4 linked regions of the Drosophila melanogaster genome follow. Changing the gene in region 1 together with any one later gene gives a genetic interaction. Each region holds a gene or a part of one and is shown on either strand. Other genes may lie near its edges.

Region 1 (6,042 bases):
GCTGTGTCGGCGGCACTGCCAAAAGCCAAAGGCCGAAAGCTGAAAGCCGAATGCCGAAACGCAGTGAGCCAGTAAGTCAGAATGCCAGAACTCGACTGGGGTCGAGTTGCCATTCATGAATTCTAACTAATTGTATTGGCAGGCAGTTGCATTTTGGAAGCTGGATCTGAATTCGAGGCTCCGAATCTCTGCTGTGCTGTGCAGCTGCATGCAGGTGGTAGCTGGAGTAGCTGCTCGGGAATAACGACCGATATTGGCAGGAAGGCCTCTCTTCCCGCATCACGACGGATCGCACCCTTTTGTTGTGCGTGGCTTTTGAGATGGGGGAACCGAACGGAGCCGAACAATTTGTGTAATTGACAAATTGACGGCAGCGCTTTGTGCGGAAGCGTTCAAAGCCGTAAATTGTCGCTAACAAGAGCGACACTCCAGGGATATCGGCAGGATATCGCCTTTATGCCTCGCATTCGCGCCTATACAAATATAATTGCCTCAGCCGCTGGAAAAGACGCCTGGGGAGACGCCCGCACCTCGCGATCACTAAATTAAGTCATTAACAATTTAACGAAGCCCTGTCGATGCCGCGCTGCCGCTTAACTAATTATGTGAATTTCCTTTTGATTATGTGCCCCGAAATCCGTGCAGCTTTTGCGGCGACGCCCGAAAATGATTTTGCAAAACAAACAGTAACAGCCCACGAAATCCGGTCGCTGCCACGCCCCCACCCTCGCTAGCCGCCACCGAGCGCTCCAATTCCCATGCGGGAGTCGATCGAATCGCCGGCACTCGGGCGTTGCTGTCGCTATCAACAAATTGGCTTCGAATCTTACGAATGATTGACTGACTGACTGAATGACTGACTGACTGGGCCGGGGATCTCTGCTCCGTTTTAAGCTGAATGATATGTTGCACTGCCAGAAATCGTCATAGGATTTATTTATTCAACAGATCCAAAAATATCATCCATCTAATATCACTAAATAATATATTTAATTATATTTTAAAGGGAATGAATTCTGTGTAGAACTAACTATAAAGGTTTGCTTTGATCCTATCTTGTACTATATACATTTTATTATATTACCTTAAATAATATTATTTATTACATTAACTTATTGAACAAAACTTCTTCAACACCTTCTTGTTTTGCTGAGTGCACAGTTTCGGCTTAAAGTCTTAAGCCGCTGAGTTTATCCGCCAACAACGATCGGGGATCGAACTTCGTATTAAACGATTTGTGAGTGGCGCTTGATTTTCGGGGCTCGACTGGGACTTCCACTGGGATATGAAGTTGCAGAGGTTCCAGGGACAGCGACGGACAAATGGACATACGGACAAGCGGACATACGGACATTGCATGCGACCTGCGACTGCTGAAAGCAGATCAGCCCAACACTTAACTTAATTTGGCAGCTACAGTCCGGCGCGCCGTGCCGTGTAATTATCGTCCGCTGCGTATTTGTTTTGGCCAACCCGATTAAGAGGGGCCCTAATTTTGTCGAACTGTCTACAAATTGATCGCGAAGCGCCAAATCGATCACCTTCCCCCATATAATAAAGTCCAATTCACTGTGTGAGAATTGATGCCCCGCCGATAAGTGTGGATATCGAGGATTGGGGAAACAGAATTGTTCAGAGATGAAAGGATTTGGATGGCTTGGAATTTTTGTATTTATCATTTTGCATCTAGGAATTGTTGCATAGCTACTAAAACTGTTAGAAAGTCCCCGTTAACAAAAAACGAACATATGTTTTAAATTATTAATGGTGCTTTTATTTTGTCTTCCTTAGTCTTAATCATTGTCTTCCATTTAGGCTAATTAACTAAACAATAAACAGCATAATACTTAAGCGGTAATTCACTACTGGGCTCCAGGCAATATATACAAAGTAGCTACAACATTTGGCAAGCTCCAACAATAACTGAGAATAGTACTTGGGACTGGGATCGGGATCCGGGAATTCAGCGCAGCAGATCCCCGAGAGCGGATATGTAGGTCTGGGCCATTTGGAGGGTCTCGTGTTTGGACAGCTGGCGATCGTTTCCCAGACAGGGAAGGTACTGGCGGAGACGATCGAAGGCCTGGTTGAGGTTCTGCATCCGACGACGCTCACGTGCATTGGCGGCCAGGCGACGCTTCCTCTTCACGACGGGTGTGATCTGCTTGCCACGCCTCTTCTTTCCAGAGCCTCCGGCAGCGGCATCTTGGTTCTCACCATCGGCCAAGTCAAAGGATCCATCATTGCCATCGAAGTCCTCACCGCCACTGAAGAGCATGAGGTCCTCGTCATCCTCGACGCTGTCATCGAACAAGGCGGAGTTGTCAAAGTCAAAGTTCTGGAACTCCTCCGTGTAGAGATTCACTGAGGCAGATGACTCCGCAGCTGCAGTCGGTGTGGAGGTGGCGGTGGTGCTTGGCTGGTTCTTCTTGGTATAGCTACGCTTCGGTTTCGGACCTGCTGAGGCTGGAATCGTTTTGCAAGTGCCCACGTTGGAGGAGCCCATGACCTCCACTGCCGGAGGAGAGGCCACTGGAATTGCAGGCGCTGTGGAAACAACAGACTGCTCCATAATCATTCCGTATTGTTGGTTCTGGGCCATGTTGTTGCAGCCTCCATTGTACATGGTATTGAGATCCACATACTCGGGACTCTCAGATCGGTGGCTAGCCGGCGAGGAGGAGATCCAGCCATCGGAACTGGCCTGCTCGAAGCTGATGAAGCCATTGGCCGACAAGTAGTTGCTGCTGCTGGCCAGGGTGTTGCCATTGAACTGGTAGTGGGTCACGCCGGGATTGTAGGCTGCCATGGGATTGAAGTACGGCTCGGCGGCGGCTGTCTTGAAGCCCTGCAAGTCCTCGGAGGTCTTGTAGTAGTAGCGATAGATCTCACTGGACGACATGTTGCTGCTGCTGTATGGTGGTGTTATGTTGCTGGATGAAACGATACGAACGCTGCGAGTGCTGGCGGGTTTCTGACTGGTCTCTCGTCCTTTCGGCCCTATTTATACTCACAAATCCACCACGACGGTCAGAAGGGCCTGAAAGGCAGGTAGGGGGGCAGGTAAACGAGTTGCCACAGAAGGCAGCACGTGCCGCCCGAGTGGCACGACCAATGGCAGTTGGTGGTGAGTTGCAGCGGTCTCAGAGAGCCCGGTTATACCTCAGTTCGTTGCGAGCTTAAAATGGCGCTAGAAAACCGACTATCTGGGCATCTAAAGCCGCTAACAAGATGATTATAGGATGGCCGGCACAACCGGAACAGGAATATGGGCGGAAATGTAAACAGAACTTGGACAAACAATCGATTTGAATCCCTAAACGGGATTAAAGTCGACCGCAAAGCGAAGCGAAATTTGCAAAAATCCCTTGGCGATTTGTCAGCACCAAATGGCAGAGCGGGTCTTATGAGTTTATCTAATCTGCATCGGTTGCAAGTGGGTTCGATCTACCTGATCACGGCTAGGGAAATCCTTACAAATCCACCGCCGCCGGGTCATTCGACATGCTTACCCAAAGTCGGGGGCGGAATATCGCAATGAAAAATCTTGTTTATTACAACTTGGCAAATTTTCCAATTGATACGCTTGTTGCCGGTACCATGAAGAAGGTAGATGATAGCGCCGGCCCTTCAAGGACACGCTTGACCGAGTGCCAGGACTGACCTTCACCTTAGCCCTCGTCGTGCCTAATAAGCGTGGCAGGCAGTAACTAAGAGCTGGGTTAACATTTTAGCGCCTTGCAATTAATACGGCCGTGTGTTCGATCGTGAGCAGGGAATTTAGTTGTAGATCCCAGGATGACACAGCAAAACGAAGCGTCCACGGTGGTCCTTAGATCCCTTCGCTACGCCCCTTAATCCTTAATGATTCGCTGGAAATCATAATGCAACGAATTCTACATCAACCACTTGCGGGGGAGTGTTCGGGCATCTTTGAAGTTCCGCGGCCACCCAGTCGCACAACTAGTAGCACGCCCCAAAGGATCTGATCTTTTTGCCGGGCAATAAAAACGCTGTCAATTAGATAAAAATGTCACACAACAAACCGCACCAAGAGCGGCACCACCAATTTATTGGACGCACACAGGCATGTTTGACCTTTTGTCCACCCCTGAGAGACCTCGAATGTCCTGAACGTCCCTCGTGAATGTCCTTCCATGCAATTTACGAGCCACTTGCCGCAACAGACAGTAGTTACACCTGCAATATGTACCTGTGCAGATCGTATCCCTCGGATTGCATCTCCGCTGTAAAGTTTTTCGCTTATCGGCATTAGCCGATGTCAAGGCATCCGCTGCATATCGATTGGGAAATTTACATTTTCATTGCCGCATCGCAATATGCACGTGCTGCCAGTCGAGGGGGCAAAAAGGGTCATTCCAAGTCAAGTCGAGTTCTTTTTTCGCCAATGGTCGGCATCGGGCGCCTTGCGTGCCTGTCAGTTATCGAGTGGCTGATCCCTCACATCGGACCCACATACCTTATGAGTACCAGTACCTCCAATACCTCAGCTCCAGCTCATTGGCATCAATACGCTGGTAACGGGCCACTTCTTTCATGTCAATATGCATAAATGCAACTTGGCCATCGATGGGAATGCAACTGATGTGGAGCAGCTTCCAGAAAGCGCATGACAAAGCCAATTGAATGGGTATGAATCTGCTTGGGTGAAACATGAAACACTCTTGTAGTCATATCCAAATCATATTCTTATATTATCCTAGAAAAACCAACCTGTATATTCTTGAGTGTAATATAATATGGTGAATGTTATAATTGTATATTGGGTTTTTTACTAAACTCTCAAATCATGTATTAGTTACTTAGGCCATTAAACTATTGACGCAGTAACTAAATTAATTTAGTTATTTTCTACATTTTGTTAAGTAACCAAATTGCTGACTAGCCGGCCTAATTCAGTATACTCTTTCCAGGACTCTCTTCGGCATGAGGAACGTGTAGGCGCAAGAGATGCCAACAAGAGGAAAGTAGGCTCACGTCAACGACTCCCATTAGCAAGTCGCTCTGGGCCGTGAAAGTGTTGTCCAGATCCATATTTATATATATCCAGACCGAATCCCAGTCCACCAGCTCCTGCTCGACTTAAACGTCTTCGGCCCAGTTATTTTTTTTAGCTGAAATTGAAAAATTTGTATGTTACTTATTTTATTAGCATTTAACACTCTGTCCCATTTTGCAGACGAGAGCGAAAAGCGAAAGGAGCAGGAGTCTGGACACGGACATGGACATGGACATGCAATCGGCATGGCATGCCATCTCCGCAACTGGGGTAGTTCCCATTCCCCCAGTTCCGTGCACGTGGGTGGCCTGGCCCCAAATCGAATCCTGGCCTCTTGTGTGGCATTTCGGCAATTGTCAAATTGAAAATTCATTAAAGGCAAATTAAATATGCAAATGCAGAAGGACCAAGTCGAGGAGGAGGAAAGAGCTCCCCTTGTTATGTGAGACCGTTGTTTGACTTGGCTCTGCAAATATTGACCACCGATTGGGGCGGTGGAAAAATGGAAAATATCATATGTACATATGCTCCTCGACGGGGATAAAAAGTCAAGTGGAGTCAAACATTGGACGGGATTCAGTTGGAACTGGCTATCATCGCTGGGAGCTGATCAAAATTGCTTAAACAAATATCGCATAAATTGCACATTGTACGAAGTGGCCGGAAAATTGTGACGGCCATGGGTTAATTCCCATGAAAATTAAAACTAGATTATACACACGTCCACAGAGTAGTCGGAGTCGAGTCCTTGCAGCGCCCACTGTGTCATTGTTTGGGCACGCCCTCACCTCCTGTTGTGCCGGCGCTTTGTCATAGATTGCCTACTGATGGTTATCATCCGGCTGAGGGATGGCACATCAGCTCCGTGCTCCTTATGAGCGTATCTGCCCAGATTGGATCGGACCATGTCAGAGCGATTTTTGTCGCCGACTTTGATGCGGCAATTCGAGCGCGGTGGTGTTGTTTTGCCAACATTACTGCCGATCAGTATCTGAGGTGATCTTCGCAACTGACTGGCGCCA
Region 2 (7,471 bases), on another chromosome or scaffold:
GTTTCTCATTCTATAATTCCCTTCGGCCGATGTTGTATATGTATATATGTATGTATGTAAGTGCTATGGCTGTGTATATGCATATGTATATAATGCGTGTATATATAATAACTATTGGAAGGCGTACTTTATAGGCTTGCTAAGTTCTGCTCAAAATTTTTACGCGACTTTGTTAAAGCTAATGGCTACGATTTCGTTAATGCAAATGTTTTTAAACTTTGTTTGCTTTCTTTACTAGATGTTGAACTTTTTTCTCTCGGGTTTTATTCATATTATGTATTATTGCTTGTATTTGAGGCGAATTTTAATGATAACGTTGGCTGTAAATATGAAAGTGATTCTTTAAACTATATTGAGAACTATAACTATAACTTTTAAAATGTGTCAATCGGTTCGCCATGTTGTTTTGTTAATTGATTTATATAACCTAGAAAGTTAATTTTAGATTTGGTTTCGATGGCAGATTGGAATCTTCCGAAAACCCCCTTTTCGGGAAACATTCTTCCAGCTGCAACAACAAAATGCCACAAAAGAAAACCAAAAGCAAGGACACACACATACATCCGCACAGATATTCACTCTTCTCTTTCCCTCTCTTTTGCTCTCCCTGCAACAGCTGTTGATCGCAATTGCAGCACACACACACTCACGTACACATTCTGATGCACTTATCTCATATGCACATACAAATGTTGATGGAAGAACAGCAGGTGTTAAATATAAAATCAAAATGTAGCGTATATAATGTCATAAAGACGCCAGATGAGCGAGAAAATTATCGCAATGTATCTGCTCCGCTCCGTTGCTGTTTGTGAAGTTGCTACTTCGGCTACCACATTCATTCATTCATTAGTTGTTGTTGTTGTTGATTTTATTCGAAGAGCGCACAAGCAAAGGGCAACGCACCACAACAACAAAAATTTTCCTTTCCATTTTGGCGTTGCTTTTGCCTAACAACAACAACGAATAAGAAGGTGAAGAAGAAGACGGCAGTTCCGTTAGCAAAGCAAAGAGAGCGACAGAGTGAGTGAGTGCGATCGAGAGCGAGTGAGAGAGCAAGAAAATCACACGGTCCAGGTCCAAGTGTGCCGTTTGAAAAATTGACAATAAAAAATGCGCATTTCACTTTTTTTGCGCTCTCTTCTGCTTGAAGTCTCTTCTGTTCCGTTTTCGAGCTGTTTGTTGTTGTTCTCGATGTTTGCAAAAACAAAGTTGCTGTAGTTGTTTTTGTATTTGTATTTGATCTGTTGATTTCCATTTGATATGCATTGGAAATTTTGCCTCCGAGCTAGCGAGCGAGACAAAGCGATGGGAGGGATGGGTTGGAAAGGGGGACGGTGGCACATGTGCTTCGTTTCGTTTAAGAATTTACACTCTTCACTTCTTTGAACTTACGTTTTCGAATAACATTTGATTTAGATTACATTGATTTAGATTTAGATTTGATTTTGCTTTTGCCTTTGCCTTAGCTACTTGCTATTGCCTTTTCTTTTTGCTTTTGCCTTTGAACTTTGCACACAGAAAAAACATGGATTGCACACACACACACTTCTTTGAAATGAATATATTTCAGATGGCAAGCACTTTCATTGAAATTCGATTGCAGATATTCGGTTGGGCGGCGCGATTTGTATTTTCTATATTTTTTACAAATTTATTTTGCTATTTTCGCTCACATTTTTTACACGGCGCGACGACGGCGCCGATTTTCGTGTTCGACCGGCTGCGAAATCCAAAAAGTACTACATCTTTACCGTTATTATTCGACGATTCGCTCGCCTTCAACCGCATGCAACTCGAACTCGTACTGAGAGAGCCGTCAAACGCCATCGAACCGCTATCTCAAACATTTTGTCGACTGTTAGTGCGAGCAGCAGTTAACATTAATGCTAACGCAATGTAGACATAACAGTGCCAAAGATCCTCTTTAACTTTGTTGTTAATTGATTATGCAAATTATAGTTAAATATTTAATCAAATTGTAACGAAAACTGAGTCGTGAATGAGTTTCCTGAGAGAGAGGAAAAAGAAGAATGCTGATTGGAATTTGAATTCGAAACCGTGCAAATAACAAAAGAAAAAATGCTCTCCTCGGCGATTTCTTCTTCTCGCATCCTCGTTGGTAAATGCCTATTGTTTGGTAATTTGACTCCATGAATCAATTTTAATGACTTCGACATTTCATATTAATAACAAAAGCAAAAGAAAGTGAGACTAGAGATGTTATAGCAAACATTACATTGTACAATTATATAGATCATTTAACCAAAACATTTAAAATGCTTGACCTCCTATCTTTTAAAAGAGGAGTTCAATAAATAACACGAGAGGTAAATTATTTTTTCATTGAAGACTCTTCTATAAAGCTGTTTGTTTAGGAAAATGCTTTAGGCTATAAACTTCTGAAGCTTATATTTTGAGTATGGAGTTCTCCTATTTCGTGGAGACTATTATTTTGTCATTTCTTAGGAAGAAAGCATGGGTTGTTGCGTACGTGATTAAAGTCATATTTCTAATTCGAAGTACAAAAACAATTAAATACTGCAATTATCTATTTCGATATTATCAATATAAATATTGAATACAATACATTGTTTAGAAAGTAGAAAATGGAGTAATCAATGTTAACATTAAGAGAATTCCAACCACAATGGTATTTTCGCTTTATTCTGACGGCATTGGCCATATTTATTTCATCAGTTGGCAAAGCATCTCTGGGTTCGCGAACAAACACAATAGTATTTAAGTTTGTCGATTATTTTCAACGTTTGGGCGAATGGACGTGGACTATTGGAATGTCGGCTTTCAAACAAATAACAATTGTTCTTATCAGAATTGCTTGAGGTGTGTGTGCGTGTGACTCTCTCTCCCCCTCCTACTTATAGCATTTGCATTCTCCTTGTTGAGCCGATAGTGTCCTTTCACCCTTTTTTACTTGGAGTATACAAGTATTGGTATTTTTCTGCGTTTCAGTTATTCTTTTTAAGGCAAACACCTACCTAAATAATTGATAAAAACAAAAAGCTAGCAAACCCAAACACACACACACACACGCACGCACACAGCGACGGAAAGAGCGCATGAGAGAGGAATTGTCCGTCTGGCATTTTGACGTTTATTACTTTGCCTGTATTGTTGTTGCTGCTGCCTTTGCATTGCCTCTTTTTTTGTTGCCTTTGCGCGCGAATTCGCTGCGCATAGCAAATTAAAATTAAAAGTTTGCGAGAGCGAGAGAGTGCAACAAAAAAGCAGGGAAAAAATATCAAAATTAATTTCTTTTCGGCGTGGCGGGAGAGAGAAGGACAGAGCGGAGAGAGAGAGGGAGAACGAGCAAAAAAGAGAGAGAGAGCGCGCGACGACATGACGAACTTTTGACACATTTTGTTTATAACAATTGTCTGCTTTTTGCACTTACCTCTTTTTCGTTTGCTTCAATTGCTCCTCTCTGCTGGTGACTACAACTTAATATTGTTTTGTGTGCGAAATCAGAAATGCCAGTTTAAACATTATTTAACACAAATACGTTTACGCACACTAGCATATATGCTGTAGTAATTTGTTGTTGTTGCTGTGCTGTTGGTGGTGGTGGCGATGGTGATAAAGCCTTGCCGTTTTAGACGATTTCTGGTCTCCTCGCATTAAATATGTTTAGTTTCCATTACTGTTTGTTGTTGTTGTGATTGTTGTTATGTGGTGTATTAATAAAAAACGTACGCGAACTGCAGTCAAAGTCACTCACACTCACACTCACACGCACGCACACACTGGCACACGGCATACGGCACACACAAACGCACGCACGCACACACACAGCAACTAGTAATTCTGCTGTGCGAAAGAGACAACATGAGAGCGCTTACGAAAAAAATGTTTGTGTAAGTTTCCCCGAAAACGCGATTTCATCCGGAAAATGCACTGCGCTCGCATTTCGCCTCCGCCGCGTTGGCCATTTAATCACTTTATATGGTTCCGTTTCGATTGCATTGTTTTTAGTAGGGGTTTTTAACCGAAATTTAGTTGCGTGTTTTGTGTTGGTGCAGAGAGAGCAGGAAAATACACATATCGTTATCGATGGGTCGGCTATCGATACGGCAACTATCGCCCAGCTGATTGGCGGGCGATCAGCTGTGCGACGATAGGTCCAGTTCTGGAAAATGTCGGTACCGCATATTTGCTAAAAATTTCGATTTTCTCTTACTTAATGAATGATTTTTGGAACCGGTTTGTCTAACGATCTGAGTTTTATCTAGCAATGTGTTTATCCGAGCGTTTTTGAAAATTCATAAGCAGTTTTCAGTGTTGGTTTTCAACACTGGTTTCTTATCTCAATGTCTAATCCAGAAAACCCAATTTTGGAATGGGCAAGTATCTTAATGGGAAATATGATATACCTATATAATCTAATCTACACTTAGCTTGAATGAATATCTATTGAATCCAATTATCTTATTTGTCGGTACAAAATAATGATAAGAATCTACGAATGAATCTATGATAAATCCTTATTGATTTAAATAGCGGATTAAGGCACAACGAATCCTCTAATATATGTCAATTATAGTACTATGCACTGGATTTCTGCACCTGTTATCAGAATTCCGTTAAGAAGTATACTTATCAAAATCGAATAATTTCACAATTTTAAATATTTCTATGTTATCCACATCAATTTTTGGCATCCCTGCCGCCCCCGCAGTGTGGCCGTATGCGCTGATAGTGGGCGCCGCAGCGAACAGCTGATAGGGCTGCAGCATATAAATGAGCAGGTGGTAAATAAATGTTTTTAGTTGATTCCAAGACGCCATTCCGTGCGCGTTGGCTTCCTGATCAGAGTTTATCATTCGGCGGGCGCGGCCATCATTAGATTAGATCGACATTAGTGCGTTCCGCTCGGCGATCGGCAGCAATCGATCCGAAATAAACAAACGCTCGCGTATTTACATAATTTAAGTGAAAAGTAACGACGACAGAATGACGAACACCGATGTGCGAAAGAGAAAAGTAAGGAAAAGGTCAAAAGGGCAATCCACAGCACAAATTTAATGCCAATTTCATGGCGCTCTCTCACACACACACGCACACATGCGAATTCCTCAAATTGCTGCTCTTTTGACGCGGAAGTAAAACATCAAATGACTCGCAGAATAATCGTTTCAAGTTCTATTCTATTCGATTGTGCCAATTTGTATCTGAAAATGTATGTTTACAAGACATTTAAATATAGATACGCAATGGCCGCTAAGCACGCTTTTGTTAACAATTATGCAAATTTTGATTTTAGTTACGAAAGAGATGACTAGTGGGTTTTCTATCAACATCTTAATGCCGGCCGGTTTATTTTGAAATATTTTCGTATTCGCATTAGGGTGACCAGTCAGCAGGAACTTTCTCATTTGCAAGGTCATTAGGGGGGGCTGATAAAAAAAAAGCATAGAAAAGTCCAACGATTCAGTTGGCAGCCGTTTCGACCGAATCTCGCTAGACAACTTTTGCAATCGCTTTCTCGCATCGGAACCCAAAGATCACAGGTACACATAGAGTGTCCCATTTCGGGGGCGATTGGATCGCATAGTTTCGACTGATTTGCATCGCAAGTGGGTGGAGAACAGGATGCGGGCAAACCGGAACCGGTTGCAAGTGAGTGCAGATAGTGCCTGGCTGCTAACGTGGCCTTAACCCTCGTGTACCTACGTGTACTCGGTACTACAATATATACTAGATACTTTTGTATCTAACTCGATATTTGTTGTTTTCACAACATCTGTGTCTAAACTTATCAGCATTTTCTAGATAGCACACTTCTACCAGCTTTCAATGTTTGTATCTTTCAACTCATTTTGTGCGTCATATTTATATATTTCAAGATACATTTATCAATTAGGGTTCTTTAAGACTTAAGATTTACTTTTCAGCTGATGCAAAATAGTGTTCGGCTTCGAAATAAATGAGTTATCTATAGAACCGATTAAAGTATTCCCCTTTATAAATGGGGAGCAGGCTTCTTAGTCACTAGATCGGCACAAAAGGCGCCTTTTATCAGTAGATTTATTGATTGCAGTAGCGTGCGCCTGGAAACATATGCGTTAAGTTCACACCCTGAATGTTTAATGAGTTTCACTTATGCCAACAGTGTAATTATTGGGAAGTAGTATGTGTATTCGAAACTAATGGGTGTACTTGATTGTATAGATATAGATATATATACCATCTACCTGTCAACTCCATTACTGCTTAATTATATATACTCGCTATTTGTGCTTTGTTTGACTACTTTTCATTGGCTTTAACTATTTTTTTTTTGCGTCAGTCGCTTACCAACAGCGTAACATTTGTTTAAACAATGGGAATTTCATCAGGTTTGTTTGGGAACTTTAATATTTGATCAAGCTAAAAGATCGCTTCGTGGCCTGCCCCACTTATGATTGTTGCCAGTGGTGCCCAGACGCGCCAATCGCCCCCGAAAACTGATTGCGTCTTATCACTGTCATATCGCCCAGAAAGCTACGCGATAAGATTCTAGTCGAATGGCCACTGGCTTCGCTGACTTCCTCAGCGAAAATGTGTAATTTGGCATGACTTTATATTTTAAGAAAATTAATAATAGCCATAGCTAAAGCCATAGAAACGCATTTTTTACTATTTTTAGTGTTTATCGTTTGTTCTTATAAGAACTAATATAAACTAGCGAAAAGTTAGGTAGAACAATAATATATACTAATCGTGGAAATATCCAAGTAATGCGCTTTAAAAGGTTATTTTGTTTGAAGTAACGGTTTTCTGTTTACCAACTGCCCTAAATTACCGTTGCCAAAAGTGTGGCCCAACCCTGGTTAACGTTATCGATGAGCCACGGACTCTGCAGCCCTGGCACATGTTAACGATAAAGCCCGTAAAATAGACCGAAAACAAGAGAAGAAATGAAATTCATTGACATTCGCAGAGATAGCAAACAGCCAGCGTGTTAATATTTGAGCAGCAAACAACTGAAATGTGTTCCGACCAAGAAACCGGCCATGCATAAATGTGGAGCCAGCAGAGGCAACGGAACGAACCATGAAATACGAATATAAGCTGGTAGACCCGATGAACTTGGCCAAGAAAAACACCATCAAATAACTGAGTAGTCGGTCACAAAACTAATTTGTCTTTCGCCTTTTCAGCTGGCCACGGATGAGAAGCCACCGCGGCGGAAAAGTAGCGGATCACCAAATGCCAGCAGTGGTGGAAACCGCGGGCCCAGCGGCCTCAAGATCTCCTTCCTGTGCCTGATCATCTCCGTCATCCTCCTGCTCTTTGTCTTTGGTGTGTACCATTTGTATTATGTAAAAGACGAAGTGCCCAAAGTTGTACTAACGAAAACCTCTGATTTTCCCACTGTTACCGTGCCCTACGCCCACGTGGAACCCCATTTTGCGCCACCCGTTCGCCGTGTTATCACTAAAAAACCCATCGCCAATAAACCAACGACTGA
Region 3 (7,323 bases), on another chromosome or scaffold:
GATCAGCGGATCAGACCTCAAAACCATTACCGTTTTCTTTGAATATACAATAAGCGAAGGTAATGATTGCTAGATGACATGGTTTTCCAAAAATTATTAAAGATTTAAAATTCGAAGAAATTATTTTTTTTTTCGTGTCACCTATCTCAATTACGAGATCCATCGAGCCAACTCGGATTCGGCGGGTCAAAGGCAGCATCTGGTTCCCGGGATAACTGCAGTGCAATGTGCCCAGAAATTGGATAGTCAGTGGATCAGAGAAGTAGGGGTGAATCCAATCAAGTCAGCGGCAAGAGCATGCGCACACGCTAAAGTGAACTTAAAAACAGACGGCATTCAGTAATAATGCATTCATAGAGGCGTGGTCTAAATGGCATAATGGGGGCACAACTTAAAGCGACTGCAGCACCCAGAGCTACGAAAGCAAATCTGCCGATCGAAGGATACGATAGGGCTCATATTCCTTATCGGTGCTAAGCCTTTAACATTCACCAAAAACACAAACAACAAAAAGACGCACATAACGGCAATGATTTCCCAGTTCAAACAGTAAAAATGCGAAATTCGACCCAAACTCGGAGGTGTACGGTTGAGGGGCGTGTCGCATTACCAATATTTAATAATTATAACGGTGCGTGAACAATTTTCACTGCTAACGGTGAACGGCGCACCCACCACACGACCAAAAAAAGAATGATAGGAAAACACCTTTGCACCTGGATGGAAAAACTGAAAACTGTTGAAAAAGGGGGTTGCAGGCGATCTCAGGCGCTCAGGAGCGCGCCAACACATACATATACACAGCGAAAAAAAAAAAATAGTAATGGAGGAAAAAATGCCTCGCCTTGTAATTTCGACCTCAAAATAGATCGTGTTGTTTCCTCAGTGTACTACTTAGATTTCTTTGGTTTTCGGATCCTGCAGATGCGAATATCATTTGGCACAGGCCATCTATTCTTAATGGAAAACGATTTCAATTGATTTTCCTTACAGTATGCCTGTCTTATGTAGTTTTGCATCATCCATATCCATTGGACCGGCCCTTTCTTATTTTTTTTTTTTTTTGGTTTTTCTTCCGTTTTGTTTTATTTGGGCAGATGTCCCAAAAAAAGGGACGGGTAGAGAGACATGAGAACACGTAAGCACAGGACAATGAAGTCCTGAGCACAATTGGCAGGAGAGTATAGCGCCAAGTAAAAGTGAGGGTGAGTAAATATCGTGCAAAATAAAAGACGTGCGTGAAGGCTTGGCAACTTTGTATAAAAAAATATATTACCATTCCCTTAAATATCATTGAAAATATTTTCCAAATGTTAATGAGGGTCTGTGTGGTGAGCATGACAAGGTTTTAAAACAACTTCAAGTTTGTAGCCGCTATTGGAATTTCAAGCTGTTTTGGCTTTTCACTTCTTGACTTCTATGAGGACAGACAGACTAGACTCTATTTTTAAAAGCAATTCGTTTGATTTGCGGTTGCCGGTTAGGTCCTAAATAATAGTTCACCCTAAAACCGCTTTCTCTCAATTTCCCTAATATTTATTTTGGTGCGTTTTTAATTACTTGTGTCATTATGAATCAAGGCACATGTTTAAAAAAGAACCGCTAGAAAAAAATCCGAATTCTGTCATTCTGTCACAGAAGGAACCCCATTTTGAATATCGAGTCAATAAAGCACCGGAGATATACTGTGCCATAAGACACTCTCTAAAATATAAAACACCTTTTTTTCTAAAATGTGGTACAAATTATAAATTGTCATTTAATATACCTAATTTTCGTTGAGAAATAAAACCACAAGAAACAAATTAAGTTTTTGGAAATGTTCATATTTATTTGCATTTATTCAAAAGCATATATTATCTGCTTGTCATTTTAACGTTCCTACAATTAAATCTATAAAAAAAAAATATGGTTACACAAATACATTAATTTTTGTTATATACTAGACACTCTGTTAGTCCGGCTCAACATTAAGCCGTTTATCAGGATAACTATTTTGTGGTTGGGTCTTACAAGGTTATTTCCATTTGGTTTATATCACTAGATGACTTTAAATATGTAGTGTTCATACATTCATTTTGTCACACTCTTTCAGAGGATATTATAATATGTCTGAAGGTAGCAGTGAGGCATTTCCGACCCCACATCAATAAATATTCATGATCGGCATGTCTGGTGATATAAAAGGTGACTCGGGCAGGATCGATCAACAATATCATACGTACAAGTACCATAGCAAGAATCAAAAATGTACATATATTTTATAGAATTTGGAGAATATACAAATCTTGATGAAATCGTAAATTTGTGATAAACTTCATCGAAATTGTGCGAACTTTCATATTAAATACATGGTTTTAACAGCAAAGGTATATAAGCTTCGGCTGGCCGAAGTTATCCTCCTTTCTCGGCTTAAATTGATATTTACACAATGACTCAGTCATGGCTTGATTAAAAAAAACTTTAGATAGAATGGCCTGCCACAGACTTATGCTGTGAGGATTTAAAATCATTTAAAAAGTATGCCAAAAAATGCAATCGGCTTTTCCGAGATGCGTGATGTGAAAAAATTCGGCTAAACGGACAGATTGGTGCATGCACCATTAGATTTAGGTGCATGTGCCTCCCACCAGTCAATGGCATCGATCATGCTCTCGTCCGAAAGGCAGCCAGCGGTTGTATTGTTGGGCTGATCTTGCTGCAAAATATCGCTGAATTCCTTCTTGAATCCGGGAAGGACTACGTTGTCGTAGAAGCTCACGGGCTCCTGGTCGTAGAACGCGGGTAAAATAGGCGACGATCCCAGGTTCTGAACTTGCTGCTGCTGCTGCGGGGAAGTCTGTGCGTTGCTGCTGCTGCTAATGTTGGTACTGACGTATTCCTGTTTGATTACTTGCTGTTGCAGCGGTGTGGCACACGTCTGTGTCTGTAACAGCAATTCAGTCGAGGCGACAGGTGAAACTGGAGAAGAGCAGGGACTTCTTACCACCTTTTGTGGCACGGGCGATCGCGATAACTGGCCCGAAGCAGCTGTTTCTTCAAGTTTTTGCTCGTGACTCAAATCGCCCAATAAGTCAGTCGTCAGCAGTTGGTAGGTGTTGGTTCCTGGTATTCTGATGTATTGCAACCCATTTAATGTAGTCAAACTAGGCAGGAGATCACTGGCTTGCGGAGGGTTTAGCATATCCTCGGATAAAGTTTGTTGGACAGTCTGTTGCTCATCCATTTCGTAGTTGCTCAGCGAGTCGTCGAAATGTTCATCCAGACAATCGAATTCGTCCTTAATAAACATAAAGCTATCATCGCCGGAACCAGAACTATTCCCCTGACTGTTGAGAGGTGGAAAATCAAATCCCAGCAGTTTTTCCAAACTTCTTATGTACTCTACGGCCATGCGGAGGGTCTCCACTTTGGATAGCTTCTTGCTTGCTCCTCTACCCGCCCCCTGGGCCTCAAAAGCCTCAGATACTTCTTCTGGGATCTTCTCCCGGAGTAAAGCAAATCCATTGTTAACCTGCTTCACGCGATTTCTTTCCCTAGCGTTTCTACGGGCAACGGCTTGTGGCAAAGGCAAACCCTTTCTTCCAGGAGTCCCAAAACTCTGATCGCTTTGGCTTTTATGAGGGTGGCTTATAGTTCCTGCTTTTGGGGGCCTTTCAACCGCCAACTTCTTGTTGGTCTTGCATTTTTTAGCAGGCACTGATGTTTTACTAAGCTGTTGATTCTGCTGGTTGTGCCGGTTCTGCTTTTGGGATTCTCCCAGGGGCCTCTTCCGTTGACTGGATATGGGTGTGGTGTTAGTTGTGCTGGCTGCGGCACTTTGAACAGCGCCCAGCATGCCAAAGTCCCGGATCTTTCGAATAATGGTGTTCTGATTGGCTATATGCTGTTGCAAGGCGTTGGCGCCACTCTCACTTAAAACATTGTGAACGGTAATCTTTCCAAAAGGTTTCAACGTGGTTTTTATTCCTGGATTGGGGTTTTCCTTGGGGTTTTCTTTTGGAGGAGGTGATGGGCTGAAGCTTAAGGCGGCCATAATTAAGTTTTTTGATTCGTGGCTTTTTGAGGGCGGGAGAAAAACTGGTGGCGATTGCGGGTGTACTTTTAGCAAGTTAGTCCTTCTTGAGTGAATGTTAACTGGTGACTGATGTAATATGGTTTCCGTGTCCTTGCATCAGGACAGCTGCTGGCGCTCTGTGTCGCGTGCCCCTAAACTCCGAACTCAAACTAAAACGCAAACCCAACGGAAGTGACTTCGTTGACTGACATACACAACACAGAGCACACACATACAAAACAGAAGGCATTTGAGGTCCTGCGTATCCCTTATGTAAAGGGCCTGACTTTTCATCCCCTAGACTGGGTGTCCCTTCTCGATCGCTCACACATACACCTTTATCATATATATATATTATATACAGTACGGCTTTTGGGAAAACTAACATCTGATCAACTCGAGCCAAAAAGTCCACCTGGTTCAAGGGTGGATTTCGCCACGCTCTCTCTCATTATTTATCGGCAGCAAACACATTATGCTTATATACCGCCCCTATTAATATATGGACATTATAATAACCATATACGTATGCATATAATAAAAAGTATATTCCCTGGGGAGCTTTTTCAGCCCTGGTTTTCAAGGAATGCCCTACCACCTAGGAATTTGCAAAATATCCTAATAGATCACCTTAGACCTCCAATATTCGTCATGTAAAACGCAGAAATGCATCGAATCTTTATTTTTAGCTTATAGCTAAAACCAAGGACTGGTTTCTACTTCATTCGAAAAATGTCTCGGGATCACCTATTGTTAACTTTTCAAAAACTCGTACTGGATAATATATACATATATTTACCAGGACTTGCATTGGCAAAAACATTTTCCTATTGTTAAGCTAATAAACAGCAAGTATATACTGCGAAAGTAATGTCTTAGGTAATTCACAGGGCTACAATTTATGTTGGAAATTGACAAGATGCCAGAGAGCCAATTTAAATCCTTTAAGGGGTGAGAAATCACCCATCCTTCTCTACATTCTTGTTTTTTCTACGTCTGGCAAAAAATTTCTGGCAATTAGTCCGGTGGGAAAATAATTTTACCAGTGCTTTATTTCTATAATCTATTCTTTTTTTTGGAGCTTAGGTCTATCTGTGCAAACAAGTTTTCGAGTGCTACAATAAACTTTTTTGATCCTTCCTCTCAGGTAGTTTCCAACAAACCTGAGTAAATAGAGGAGTATACATATGTGTGTGTGTTGTACTTGCTGCACAATTTATAAACTTGAGTTCACTTAAAAGGTTCAAGGAAAAGGACTTGAGCGCAGGATAACCGGCGGGGAGAAGAAACTTGCGACGACCGACTACCGGTTTTTGATCCAGGATGCCACGTCCTCATTCCTCATTATGCAGACGAGCTCTCAAAGAAAAAGGAGTCAACGCTTGTGCGTACTGAGGAGTATTTGAGTACTGGGAAGTACTGCTCGGCGTCCTTTGTTGTCCTAGAGGATTTGACTCGGTTGCGTCCCACTTTGACGACGCATCGCAGCACTCATCTCAAGGAACTGTTCCTTGCCCCAGCCACGCCTTTCGTGCACTGCAAGAAAATAGTTCATAATTAAATTAACCATACATAAAAGTAGCGATTCCAAAAATATTACATGTAAACGGTTTCAAAAAAGTTTTGCCCCAAGACGCGGCATACCTTTTCGAATTTACTCCCACGTTCGTAAAATTAAGAACCTGCGTTGTAGTCCTGTCACTCTTTTTTTTATATATTTTTTTGGCTGTTATCTTTGGCGGATCGAAATGTTCCAATCTAGGCAAATACAATTTATGAATGGTTTCTGGTTTCTGGTTTATTTGCATTTTAAAAACGCATTGATTTCAATGGGAAAATATCTTTCGACGAGAGAAACGCCAAATGGTAATGAAACAGATGAGTAAACGGAATTGACGCTAGCGTGGAAACATACTGGATCCTCCATGATTTACTGAAACCTGAAGTCGTTCTATTTGGCTTGACCCTCCAAAATCGTAAATCAATCTGCCAACGCATGCAAGTCGCTTTGATTTTCCAAAATTTAAGTTCCCTCTTCTTTTTCCATTTTGTAACCGGAGAAAGGCGCCGGGTGAATATGTCCTGGGCCCATATTCTGTGTGTACTCGTCGTTGACTCAAGTGGATCCTTTAGGATGCTTCATCATTTAGCATCTGTGCACAGTTGTTCGTTCATAAATTGTTTTACCGCTTCTTGTTTTTTCATATTATTATTTCGTCTTTCGAGTTATGAGTGTTGAAAACTTGATGGAACGGAAGTCTTTCCGTGGAAGTCCTTGAAATAACTTTGGAGTCAAGCACTGGGGGAAAAGTGAAAGGACCCCAGCCGAGAACTACACAAAAGGACTCGCTCTACGGGTGAACACCATTTTTGGGACATTGTTTAAGGAAATGTTTGTGACGATGCCTTCTAATTATTACATATTCCCCCCATCGGATCGTGAACGAGTTACAAGTGACCGGTGTACAGATATGTAACTCTTTCTAACTATAAACTAAATAAAATTAGCCAAAAAATTAAGGAAAAGAGTTACTCCCGAATCATTTCTGCTATTTATTTAGCGGCAAACTGTGTCCCGTCCTTGCAGCAAAAATGAGCGGGTGCGGGCTGTTTTAATACCTCTTTTAAACAATACATGGGGAAATAGCGAGTTTCTATTTAAAAACTGCATTCGACTTTAAAGTGAAACTCACAATTCACGCTGATCGGAGTGGTAAATTGTTTTCAGATCGCGCACGTGCCTTGTGCTCTACATAAATGTGAGTGAGTGTCTGTGTGTCTTCTACCTGAGATCCTACACAGAAAAAAACCATCTTGAAATAAATGTGGTGAATCATGCAAGAAATAAATACGCATTCCGTCGTCGTGTTCTTGTAATGGATCTTTTTTTGTAGCCGGATTGGCACGTCTTTTCTTCTTTTATAGTGATATCTAATATTACAAGCATTATTCAAATTTTTTAAACACTTATATTTTTGTAATATATTTATTATATTAACTAAGGACACCATCTTATATTAATCCATTTTTAAACAGTCGAAGAGTGCGTACGTGTTGTATAGTTTTCTCTGTGTGTCGGGGACACTTCGACCAAACGCATGGTCTTTGGATTTTAGGGTATCGGGGACCTTTGGCGCGCTTTCGGGGGTATCCGAGCAATAATAAATTATCCTCACCCTCACCTGGCTTCTCATTTTTCCTTTCTCATCTCCTTTCTCGCTTACTCTCTTCCCCTACTGCTCCCCTCTCTTTTGAGCTAGGTGCTG
Region 4 (10,158 bases), on another chromosome or scaffold:
TCCGGCTACATCCGCGGAGTTGTCAAGGTGAGTAACGTGCTCCTAGGATCACCAACTACACCTATCCGTTTAATGTGGATGAGATCACTTGCATTTGGCCATGCCACATTCAAGAGACGTGCTTGAGCACCTGTGCCAGCTTACTAGAAGTTACTTAGCTCACTTGGCTTAACTGCTTTTGAAGTGTAACTAAGCGAATCGTACTTCTTCCATGTTTCAGGACATCATCCACGATCCCGGCCGTGGCGCTCCTCTGGCCGTCGTCCACTTCCGCGACCCCTACCGCTACAAGATCCGCAAGGAGCTGTTCATCGCCCCCGAGGGCATGCACACCGGCCAGTTCGTGTACTGCGGCCGCAAGGCCACCCTTCAGATCGGCAACGTGATGCCCCTCAGCCAGATGCCCGAGGGTACCATCATCTGCAACCTGGAGGAGAAGACCGGTGATCGCGGCCGTTTGGCCCGCACCTCTGGCAACTACGCCACCGTGATTGCCCACAACCAGGACACCAAGAAGACGCGTGTCAAGCTGCCATCCGGCGCCAAGAAGGTCGTGCCCTCGGCCAACCGCGCCATGGTTGGCATCGTCGCCGGCGGCGGTCGTATCGACAAGCCCATCCTGAAGGCCGGTCGTGCCTACCACAAGTACAAGGTGAAGCGCAACAGCTGGCCTAAGGTGCGTGGTGTGGCCATGAACCCCGTGGAGCATCCTCACGGTGGTGGTAACCATCAGCACATTGGTAAGGCCTCCACCGTCAAGCGAGGCACATCCGCCGGTCGCAAGGTCGGTCTCATCGCTGCCCGTCGTACCGGTAGGATCCGTGGTGGCAAGGGCGACAGCAAGGACAAGTAAGCTCTGGCTGCAGCAGGATTCCGGCGTGGCGCAGGTTCCGCCTGAGATCTGGGTAGTGGTCGTGCTCTGCTGTGCGGCGTCGTGGAAGAAATTGCTATTCTACATGGATAATCTGTATGTTCTAGGCATACGCTTGACACGGCAGAATAAAACGTATTTGTAAAACTATACTTCGTTTGCATTTAAAGTTTTTAAGATTTTAGTTATTAGCTTTTGTTTGGATTTATTATGCTGATTTATTAGGTAAATACTTATGTTATCTGCAAATTCTTGTTTTCAAACAAAGAAATACTTGTGTTTTTTGAAATATGTATACATATTTTATATGGGCTATTTGTGGACTTATTTTTAAAATACTAGATTGAACACGTTTCATATGGCAACCAAAAAAGGTTTTGTTTTGTTTTTTACAAGATTGTAAATACTTAATTTTTACAACTCAAAATTATAAATAGTGCCAGTGTTGGGTAATGTCAACTACGGTCACACTAATCTAAAACAATTTGAAGCAAACGGTATATTACACTAAGTTCAAGTTTTGAAGCAATGGGGCTTACACCAAACAAATATATAAATAATAATAACTTTCCGCCGAATATAAGCGTTCGCATCTTTTATTTCGATATATCTTAGACTTAGCTTAAGCCTATCGAATACTTATTCGATATTGCCTCGGAAGATCTATCGCAAGCGTGAGGCCCACCTCTAGTTGGTGTGCGCGGAGTGGAGTGAAATAAATCGAAGTAAATTGCGTCGAGCGCTGCAAAATAATGGATCGCACTTTCTACGAGGGCTGGCTAATTAAGTCGCCGCCCACCAAGCGCATTTGGCGAGCAGTAAGTTTCCGAAAATGGAAAAACGTAGGCTTTCGAAAACCTGAGCGTGTGTGCGTGTGTGCAAGTGCTAAGGAATTTTCCTGGAAACCCCAGCTCAAAACGAAATCAAAATGAAAATTCTGATCCAATCAAATCAGAAATGTCCACTGATTAGTGAAATGTGCAAAGAAAAGAGAGTCGCAATTGGCTAACGGTAAACTTGAAGCCGGAAGAGAAATACCGCAATCTTTGTCCATCGATTGACTCACGAAAATGATAAAAAAAAACGATGGATAATGGAAGTGGCATTTTTTTACAATTACGCTAAGCCTGTATTGGTGCCTGCCTCAGTGTGTGTGGGTTTGTTTGGCGTTGTTGTTTGTGGTATGATTTAATTCATTATTAAGCCGAGGGATTGCAATTCCAGTATTCCAGTTGATTGGAATGCAAACAAGTTGAAAACCGCAGCAGAAATTGCAAAATGTGAATGAATTTACGATGGCTTCCTCTGCGTTTTTCCCTCTCTCTCTCTCTGTCTCTCTCCCCACCACCCTCTCCGTCACCCAGTTTCTTTCTGTTTATGTTTGCTTTTGGCGTGGGAACGTGTTTTTTTCTTTTGCCCTGGTCTAAATTTACGCTTAATTAATTTTTCGTTTAATGTTTACTTTAGGGAGCCGTTCGTGTATTAAATTTCCGCCAACTGTTGCGTTTAATCAAATTTACTTGCCCCGTATTTCGTGTGTGCATGTTTTTTATGCGCATATGTGCTTGTTTTTGCTTTTTTATGTGCACGGACGATAAGCCGGATCAAGCACAAAACAATGTGCAACAACAGCAACATAAACTACCGACGATGACCAAAAAAACAATGACGCACTTGTCTTTCCAGCTCCTTGTTGTTGTTGATTTTGCCTATGCTAGAGATGCGCTGTTGTAGTGTCAGCATAATAATTTTTATTTACAGTCCATCATAATGTATGACTTATTAGATTTTTGGATTAATTATTTTTTAAACATTTAGGGGATGAATAGTTGAAAAGTATGTTTGCTTATATTATTAAATATAAATAGAATGATTTGCTCAGACAAATAAATTTTACTGGATTTTAAACTAGTAAAGCTAAAATATAGAAGTTCTCCCTCAGGAGTTCGTGACACGACACTCTGTAGTGTGCCCATCTCTAGAGCGTTCATTTGAAACCACTTATAATGGATACGACAGTTCCAAGAACACCCAAACCGTTGATCAAAAGGTCTGCAGCACAGAATTTTCAGTTACAGCAAACCCACTTTATGGTTTCACTGTACTCAATTTGTTTGCTTATGTTGAGGCGTGCAATAGCGTCCAAAATGGTAGTATTCAATCACACTATTTTGAAAACTGCTTAAGATTATACAATATAAATTAAATAACTAACCTCTTGACATCAAACTTCGTACAAAATATGGAATATTTTGTTGTAAAGGTTTACAGCAGCTATCTAATTTTAAAAACAACCCTTTCCGGCGCGTTAAAAGTAAACAAATTTAGAAACATTTTAAAAATAGAACCTTTGCCCGCACATTTTCGTTTGCGTTTCTAATATCTTGAGCGCCATTGTATAAACAAACTCTAATGATGCCTCGAGAAAATGAGCTGCGTATTTCCAGCGCCTCGGGGTGCCAATTTCTGGCCTGTGTGCGGCATTATGTTTATTGTTTATAATTCAATTAAGCTTGATATTATACAGTCCGAAAAAAACCATCCATTATCAGCTGGAGTTTTACGTTTTCAGCGGGTTCCCGAACCTCTCAGCTGTTAATTTCTTAACCGCTTAACGGTAACGTGGGCGGGGGTGTTATTTCTGTGTGTGTGTCTGCTGATTACCCAAGAAAATGCCAATGCAAAATATGATTCGCGGAAAAGCAGCGCCGCTGCAGTCTCTGTTGACTCGGGCTTCATCACCCGCTTACTCACCAGCAGTGATAGTGTACTCAGTCGTTGAGCTGATCAGCCGTACCCTACCCTCATATCAACAACCGGAGTCCATCGCTCAGTAAGGGTATCTTAATCCAGAACGGAGACATCGGTACACTCGCGTAGTACGTTTATATATAGCTAAACTACTGCAAGATATAGTATAATTAGAGATAGACTTAAAGAAAGCCTTGGCGTGTCGCAAATTCTAGAAAATTTGCTAATGATTCACTATATTCTAATCATAAATACCGCATTATCAGATCTCTAGGAAAATTACATTTTTGATGCGTAAATGATATTGTAAGCATCAAGATTGTTCATTTGCTCTTCGCCCTGATGAGTAACTACCTGATGAAGTTAGTCATCACTATTCAGGCATCTTAGTACAATTTGTAACAGTGTAATCTTGTTTAATATTCTCAGACTCTTTGCAAAAGAAGCAATATCTACAAATCTCATTTTGGGGGAATTTTTGACTTTGTTGAATTGTTTTGCTACAAAAAAACAAAGACAGTTTATCGTGTGATATTTGCAATTCCACGACCCATTTAACATATGTCGCTATGAAGGAATCTTGTGTGTGTAATGGCATAGGAGAAATCACTATTGCTTTTCCAACTGTACGCCTCGTTGCAACTCTTAACGCCTTGTTTCCAAATTATCTTTGTAGCGCTGGAGGCGTCGCTACTTCACGCTGAAGCAGGGCGAGATACCGGAGCAGTTCTGCCTCGAATACTACACCGACCACAACTGCCGCAAGCTGAAGGGCGTTATCGATTTGGATCAGTGCGAGCAGGTGGACTGTGGCCTGCGGCTGGAGAATCGCAAGCAGAAGTTTCAGTACATGTTCGATATCAAGACGCCCAAGCGCACCTACTACCTGGCTGCTGAGACGGAGGCGGATATGCGCGACTGGGTGAACTGCATCTGCCAGGTGTGTCACCTACACGACACAAAGCAATCGAATGAGTTGCCATTAGGAGCTGTGGGTGCAGGTGAGTGTCCGCAAGCCCATGTCCAAAGAACCCCTTCTTAAGTTTTTCTTTTCTTGCAACACCCAGACGAAAACCGCACCCAACACACGAGCTCCAGTGGCGGTCTAAGCAACTCCACTCAAAATACGACCACCACATCGTTGCACTCGTCGGCCGGAACCACAGCGCCTCAGGCTTCGGTCCCAAATGCTGGAGGATCTGCCCAGCTGCGACGACCGGCGGTCATTGAAGAGCAACCGATGCCCTCGAATGCCGGCAACAATAACTCAGACTCGGTGTATGTCAACACGGAGTACAGCAATCGCGAGACGATGCTCTGCGATGCCAATTTCGATCAGCAGGAACTGCTCTCGGCTGCCCAGCAGCAACCGCCTCCATCGCCGGCCACGGCTCTTTATCTAAACCACAGTGCTTTGATCCAAGCTCAGGCGGCAGCTGCAGCCGCCGAGCAACTGCAGCAGCAGCAGCAACAAGCTGCTCGCTTGGCGGTCAGTGCCAACGGAGTAGTGCGCAAATTGCCGGAGCATCTGGTGCTCACGCAGCAGACCCTGGCGGAGGCAGCTGCCCAGCAACACAGCAGCGTACAGGCTTCACCCGCTTTGAGCACCGCATCCGGACCGTACATACCCATCAGCGAGTGCTTCTCGGGCAGCCCGAGATTCCTGCCCGGCGTTCCACTGCCCGGCGCAGATTTGGCCATACCAAACAACCCCACCACGCCGTTGAACAACTTGGATCCCAAGTTCTACGATACGCCGCGTAGTCATAATAACATAGGTCTAAATCTGACCAACGATCAATCCTACTCACCGAAGATAACCAATTTGAGTCTGGTAAGTTGATAGCGATAACGATGCGCGTCAAGCATTATTTATAATTAATTATCATGTTGGCCTTTCAGCAACAATTGGCCAATAACAATGCTAGTAAACAACGCTCCGACTCCGATTCGGAAAGCGTTTTCACCGATGACGATGAGTGGGCTCATCCTTTGCCACTGCGCGAGAATGTGGGTAAGTACTCAAAAGGCAAATATCAAAGCGAATTCTCGTAGTAAACAAAGATTTCTCACAGATCGCAGTACCCGACCTTCGGATAGTTCCATTGAAAACGAATCATTCGTGCTAACGTACTCGCAGCGATTCTCTAAAATGCCCGAGGAAGGAGGAGCGATCGTGCCACCAGCTGAAAAGAGTTCCAAGCTAGCAGGAGCAGCATCTCTGCCAGAGGCTGGTGACCAGGGAACGCTGGATAAGCTGGCCAAGGTGCTGAAGAACAAAAATAATCTCATATTGGACTTTAAGGAGAATGAAAAGTGAGTTAACACACACTCAATTCAATTTTAAACGGCCTACTAAATCATCCTGCGCATTGACAGAATTCCTCGCGATCTGCCGCAGCTGTCGGATACGGAAAATACTTCGCCGGCCATTGTGGCCCGCCGCAACGCGCACTCCGCTTTCATCGAGGAAAGCTATGACATTCCAAGGTCCCACCAGCAGCCTTACTACAACGTCAACCAGCTGCTGGGCGAGCGACCAGTCACCAGCCCGCACAATTCCAATCCCATTGCAGCATCCACACCGAATCTCATGGCGGCCGATCTGGGTGCAGTGGCCGCAATTTCAGCGGCAGCGAATCCCGGCCTGATGGGTGAGGCACAGGCAGTCGCATCATCGCCCACCAGTGCGCGCACATTGCCTCGACACTGCTACACCAATGCAGCTCCCACAAAGATGGAGGGCAATGTTTTTCGATACGACTTCATGGAGCAGGCGGACTGCCCGCCGGTTAACCGGAAACTTAAGCCAAAGGTGGCGGGTGGATTGCCAGTTGTAGAGGACAAACCGCCGGAGGAGTTTCCTGCAAAGCCCCCGGTGGGCGTAGATCAGTTAACCAATAAACTGGGTGCAGCCCAACTGCAGCAGCCCATTGGACCGCCCAGTGTGGACAGGAAGTGCAAACCGAATGCCTATAAGGTGAGTGACAAACGTTGTGCACACCCATATTCAATTTACTAATGACTTCTTTTTAGTTGGGCAATTCGGCTACCATGTCGCCGGCAACGCGACGTTCCTCCGGTGCCCCTCTCTCAATGGTGCTGCCGCATGAAACGGATGTACACTCCCCGGCGGCAGCCAACGCCTTCTTTCACGAGACCCGCACCCTGCCTCGCCAACAGCATCGGCATCATCCGAACAGTCCCGGCAGCATGTCGGTACAACATCAGCGCACCGCCTCCGCAGCGGCTGCCATGATGAGCTTGACGGCAGCAGCTGCTCCCAAGCAGCAAGCGGCGGCGCAGACTGAGCACAAGCTGCAGTACTTTGATCTGGATGTGACCAACAAACCGCCATTGCTAAATCGATCCAGCATGAGTGTGGGGAATCTGTACTCACAAGGCGGAAATGGAGCTAGTGGAATGCGATTCGCAGGCGTCGAAGCTGGCGGAGCTCGAGCGCCAGTGCCTAGCAGCGTGGTCTATAGATCCGTGGACTTTGTCAAGACGGAGGCATTTAAGAGGATTCGAGAGGAGCGCGAGAGCAGCGGCAACAAGTGAAACTGCTGGTTCAGCTAAATGAAATCATATCTCCAGTACATCTACTTGTCAACGTGCAATAGCAAAGGAAGGACCATGTTGCTGATCCGAGATTTTCGTAGTGCCTATTGGTGGTCAGCTGAGGAGAGCTGACCCCATCCAAAAACAGTGCAAATTTCGAGTGGCTTTTACATTCGTTAACATCGTCAAATTCATTATTCATTAAACCACATATCTAGCTTGTAAGACGGCACCAGCATTTCTGTGTGCTGTTTTGAATCTGTAATCTGTAACCCGTATCTGAATCTATGTCGTATTCGTATTTAAATCGTGCTTCCAACACTTCCATGTTTATTGTTAAGCTTCGGAATCAAAATGTAACCATGACAAACGATCTTAGTGCTAATTTTACAATGCAAACAATTATTTTATATACGCAAGCGAAATATTTATATACACGAATTTTATATGGTAACAAATTATTTACAATTTAATAATGTAACTCGTGTGCGACACAAGCTGTAGCTTGATTTTGTGCTTTAAAAAATATATATACAATAATACCAATTTTGTGTGTTCTCCTAAAAGATCCAGAACAAATATCGAATTCCGATTGCTAGAAAATATCTGAATATTACAATATCACCAGGAAACGATGTTGCCTTCTGTTTATTCTGGAAATCCTATAGCAACCTTTGTTTCGAGTTAAATCAATCCAAGTCAACGCAGAGGTACTTGGCAACGCAGGAGTCTCCACCAAACAGACTGTTATTATTAAACGAATAGTCAGTAAACTAGCACGCTTTCGAGTTCCCTACCTTCATCCTTACATATTTGTATTACAATGTCCCTGGTTTATATCACCCATCACGATGAGAATATTCTCGAGTGCGAGCAGGACTTTGTGAAGGCCCAAGGACCTAAGGAATCAATTTTTGTCTACAAAAATCGTAGGGATTCGTACTAAAAATCGTTACCTCCCACCTAACTTTAAGCAATTTTGCAGCTGTTGTGGAGAGGGCAGCCAAGTATGCCAAGAGACTTCGCGAACGCTTTAACGAGGAGGACAAGAAGCTATCGATTATCCTCCAGAACGATGGAACCCGCGTCCTGACAGAGGCCAAGAAATCAGCCCACCGCACCATGGGCTGTGCTCACACTCCGATTGACCCACCGTGCGCCTATTTGCGCAAGAGCCAGGGCATCAAATGGCGGCGAGAGAACACCCACAAGTGTCCCAAGATGCCGCCAATGCCCCCACTACCACCACCGGGCAGTGGCGGCAAAAAGCCGGCAATGGTACCTAACTTCATCAAACGCAACAAGATATGTGCCGGACAAACGGTTCCCTGTCCCCCGCCACCTCGTTATGTAGACACTCCCGTGGGAGCTCGTCACGATCTACTCAATTCCGGATTGGTACCGCAGTTTATCTGCCGCAAGGATTTCGGCAAGGTGCCTGTTTACCTCAAGAAAACCAAGAGGATGTTGGCCGACATGAATGCGGTGTGTGCCAAGGAACAGGCACGTTTGCTGGAGCTGTGCCGCGGTATCAAGGGTTTCACCAGGGCATCCGTCCAATCAAGTGGTCCGCCGCCAATGCCGGGTATGCGGGTGATGGAGCAGGCCGAGCGAAATGAGATCCTCGAGGGACTGCGACTGAGCCTGACCGAGATGACCAAGCAGTATCAGTCGATGTCGCTCCTTATCGACAGCATCGCCAAGCGGCAGCGCAAAAGCAAGCTGGAGTCCGATCTTCGCCAGGTGGAGCAGGACATTCTGCTAATCGAGACCACTCCCATTATCTATGTTTCCGAGTACTAACAATGACACACACACCTTTTCTGACCATGTGTGTCGGCATCTGGAAGCCGAGTGAGGTGTCTCCATGGATTCACTTGCTTTGCTCTTAGAGGCGGACACACAAAACACTTCGTAATTAAGATTGAGAATAAATTTAACGTTTATGCATTAAACATTTCCGTGGCAAAGCTTCCATGGCAAACGGGACATGTCAGATGTCTCCCCGACTCGTAGAGTTCTTGCAGATTGTCCAGCTCGAATAGGATTTGGCGGTTGCAGAGGCTGCAGTAGCGTCGCTCCAAGCTGAGGGAGATCTGTACGGATACTGTAGTCTTGTCTTAAAATGAATTCTAGTGAATTCTTACCTCCACAAAGGACACACTGCATCGATGAAGTTGCTTCTGGGGATTAGATATCACAGGTATACCTAGCATCTCGTGCAAGTGCTGAATATGGTTGCCCATTTGTTCAACGAATGTCCTTGCTGTGGATCCTAGGGCATGGTTTTCCGTGAAGTCGTCATTGAGTTTATTTATCAGTCTGTGGGCCTCCTCGAACATACATTTTATCGCCTGCTCCTGGAATGGTGATCTCTTACTTAATGACCCAATAAACTGGAGCCTCAGTCTTATGTGTGTGATATTCAGCATCGCAAGGAGCAGCTGCAGTTCATCCCGGGACTTTTGGATGTGAACTGTCAGCTGGAGGTGGCTCGATTGCAGGCGAATCACGTTTTGAAGAACATGAAATTTAATTTGCAGCTGCTGCAGCTGACCTTCAGTGGCGGTATCGGCAAATTCAATGGAATCTAATGGACAAAAGTCCATAAATTTTTGCCAATTCTCCTCGGCAAAAACGTGCAGACGTAGTCCAGCTAATAAATCGGTATAGTGATTCATGGGCTTATTGGATTCCAGATGCCTGACAAGCTGATCAAGTGGATCCTGATTCCCCACCTTGAGCACTTGCATAACCAACTGGTTCTTTTGAGATACAGTTTCATTTAGATATTCCTTGTTGCGGTAGAGTAACAGGGTCATTAAGTTCTTGTGCCTACTGGTGCACAGTCCCATCACCTGGAAATCCTGAAGGACACCCATGGCTATCGATTGCATCTGCAGGCTAAGCTGATTATTCTCGTGGATAATTTGTACGCAAGACAAACAGCTTCCAGCGGTTCCTGCAACGTAGCT

What was found.
Region 2: of ato (region 1) and lilli, changing one enhances a phenotype caused by changing the other (phenotypic enhancement), as found in Drosophila melanogaster (one study listed by BioGRID).
Region 3: of ato (region 1) and ase, changing one suppresses a phenotype caused by changing the other (phenotypic suppression), as found in Drosophila melanogaster (one study listed by BioGRID).
Region 4: of ato (region 1) and dos, changing one suppresses a phenotype caused by changing the other (phenotypic suppression), as found in Drosophila melanogaster (one study listed by BioGRID).

Annotation. Positions count from the first base shown.
Region 1 is NT_033777.3:8,274,986-8,281,027, reverse strand, and holds ato (atonal), read right to left. Parts: upstream 2,977-6,042; 5' UTR 2,903-2,976; coding exon 1,964-2,902; 3' UTR 1,754-1,963; downstream 1-1,753. UniProt on the Drosophila melanogaster protein: Developmental protein involved in neurogenesis. Required for the formation of chordotonal organs and photoreceptors. Seems to bind to E boxes. Specifically required for the photoreceptor R8 selection.
Region 2 is NT_033779.5:2,882,523-2,889,993, reverse strand, and holds the start of lilli (lilliputian), read right to left. Parts: upstream 4,066-7,471; 5' UTR 3,416-4,065; intron 1,711-3,415; exon of another isoform or gene 1,396-1,710; intron 321-1,395; 5' UTR 1-320. Other genes in the region: NTPase, read left to right, coding at 4,972-5,001, 7,161-7,471. UniProt on the Drosophila melanogaster protein: Has a role in transcriptional regulation. Acts in parallel with the Ras/MAPK and the PI3K/PKB pathways in the control of cell identity and cellular growth.
Region 3 is NC_004354.4:457,669-464,991, reverse strand, and holds ase (asense), read right to left. Parts: upstream 4,246-7,323; 5' UTR 4,037-4,245; coding exon 2,576-4,036; 3' UTR 1,816-2,575; downstream 1-1,815. UniProt on the Drosophila melanogaster protein: Involved in the determination of the neuronal precursors of optic lobes in the central nervous system.
Region 4 is NT_037436.4:2,587,864-2,598,021, forward strand, and holds dos (daughter of sevenless), read left to right. Parts: upstream 1-1,550; 5' UTR 1,551-1,623; coding exon 1,624-1,689; intron 1,690-2,338; exon of another isoform or gene 2,339-3,750; intron 3,751-4,298; coding exon 4,299-4,623; intron 4,624-4,689; coding exon 4,690-5,456; intron 5,457-5,524; coding exon 5,525-5,636; intron 5,637-5,697; coding exon 5,698-5,938; intron 5,939-6,001; coding exon 6,002-6,602; intron 6,603-6,658; coding exon 6,659-7,183; 3' UTR 7,184-7,727; downstream 7,728-10,158. Other genes in the region: RpL8 (ribosomal protein L8), read left to right, coding at 1-27, 221-853; CG16984 (uncharacterized protein), read left to right, coding at 8,007-8,112, 8,169-8,986; CG12182 (uncharacterized protein), read right to left, coding at 9,127-9,279, 9,331-10,158. UniProt on the Drosophila melanogaster protein: Essential component for signaling from various receptor tyrosine kinases such as Sevenless, TORSO and DER. Required for photoreceptor cell and wing development.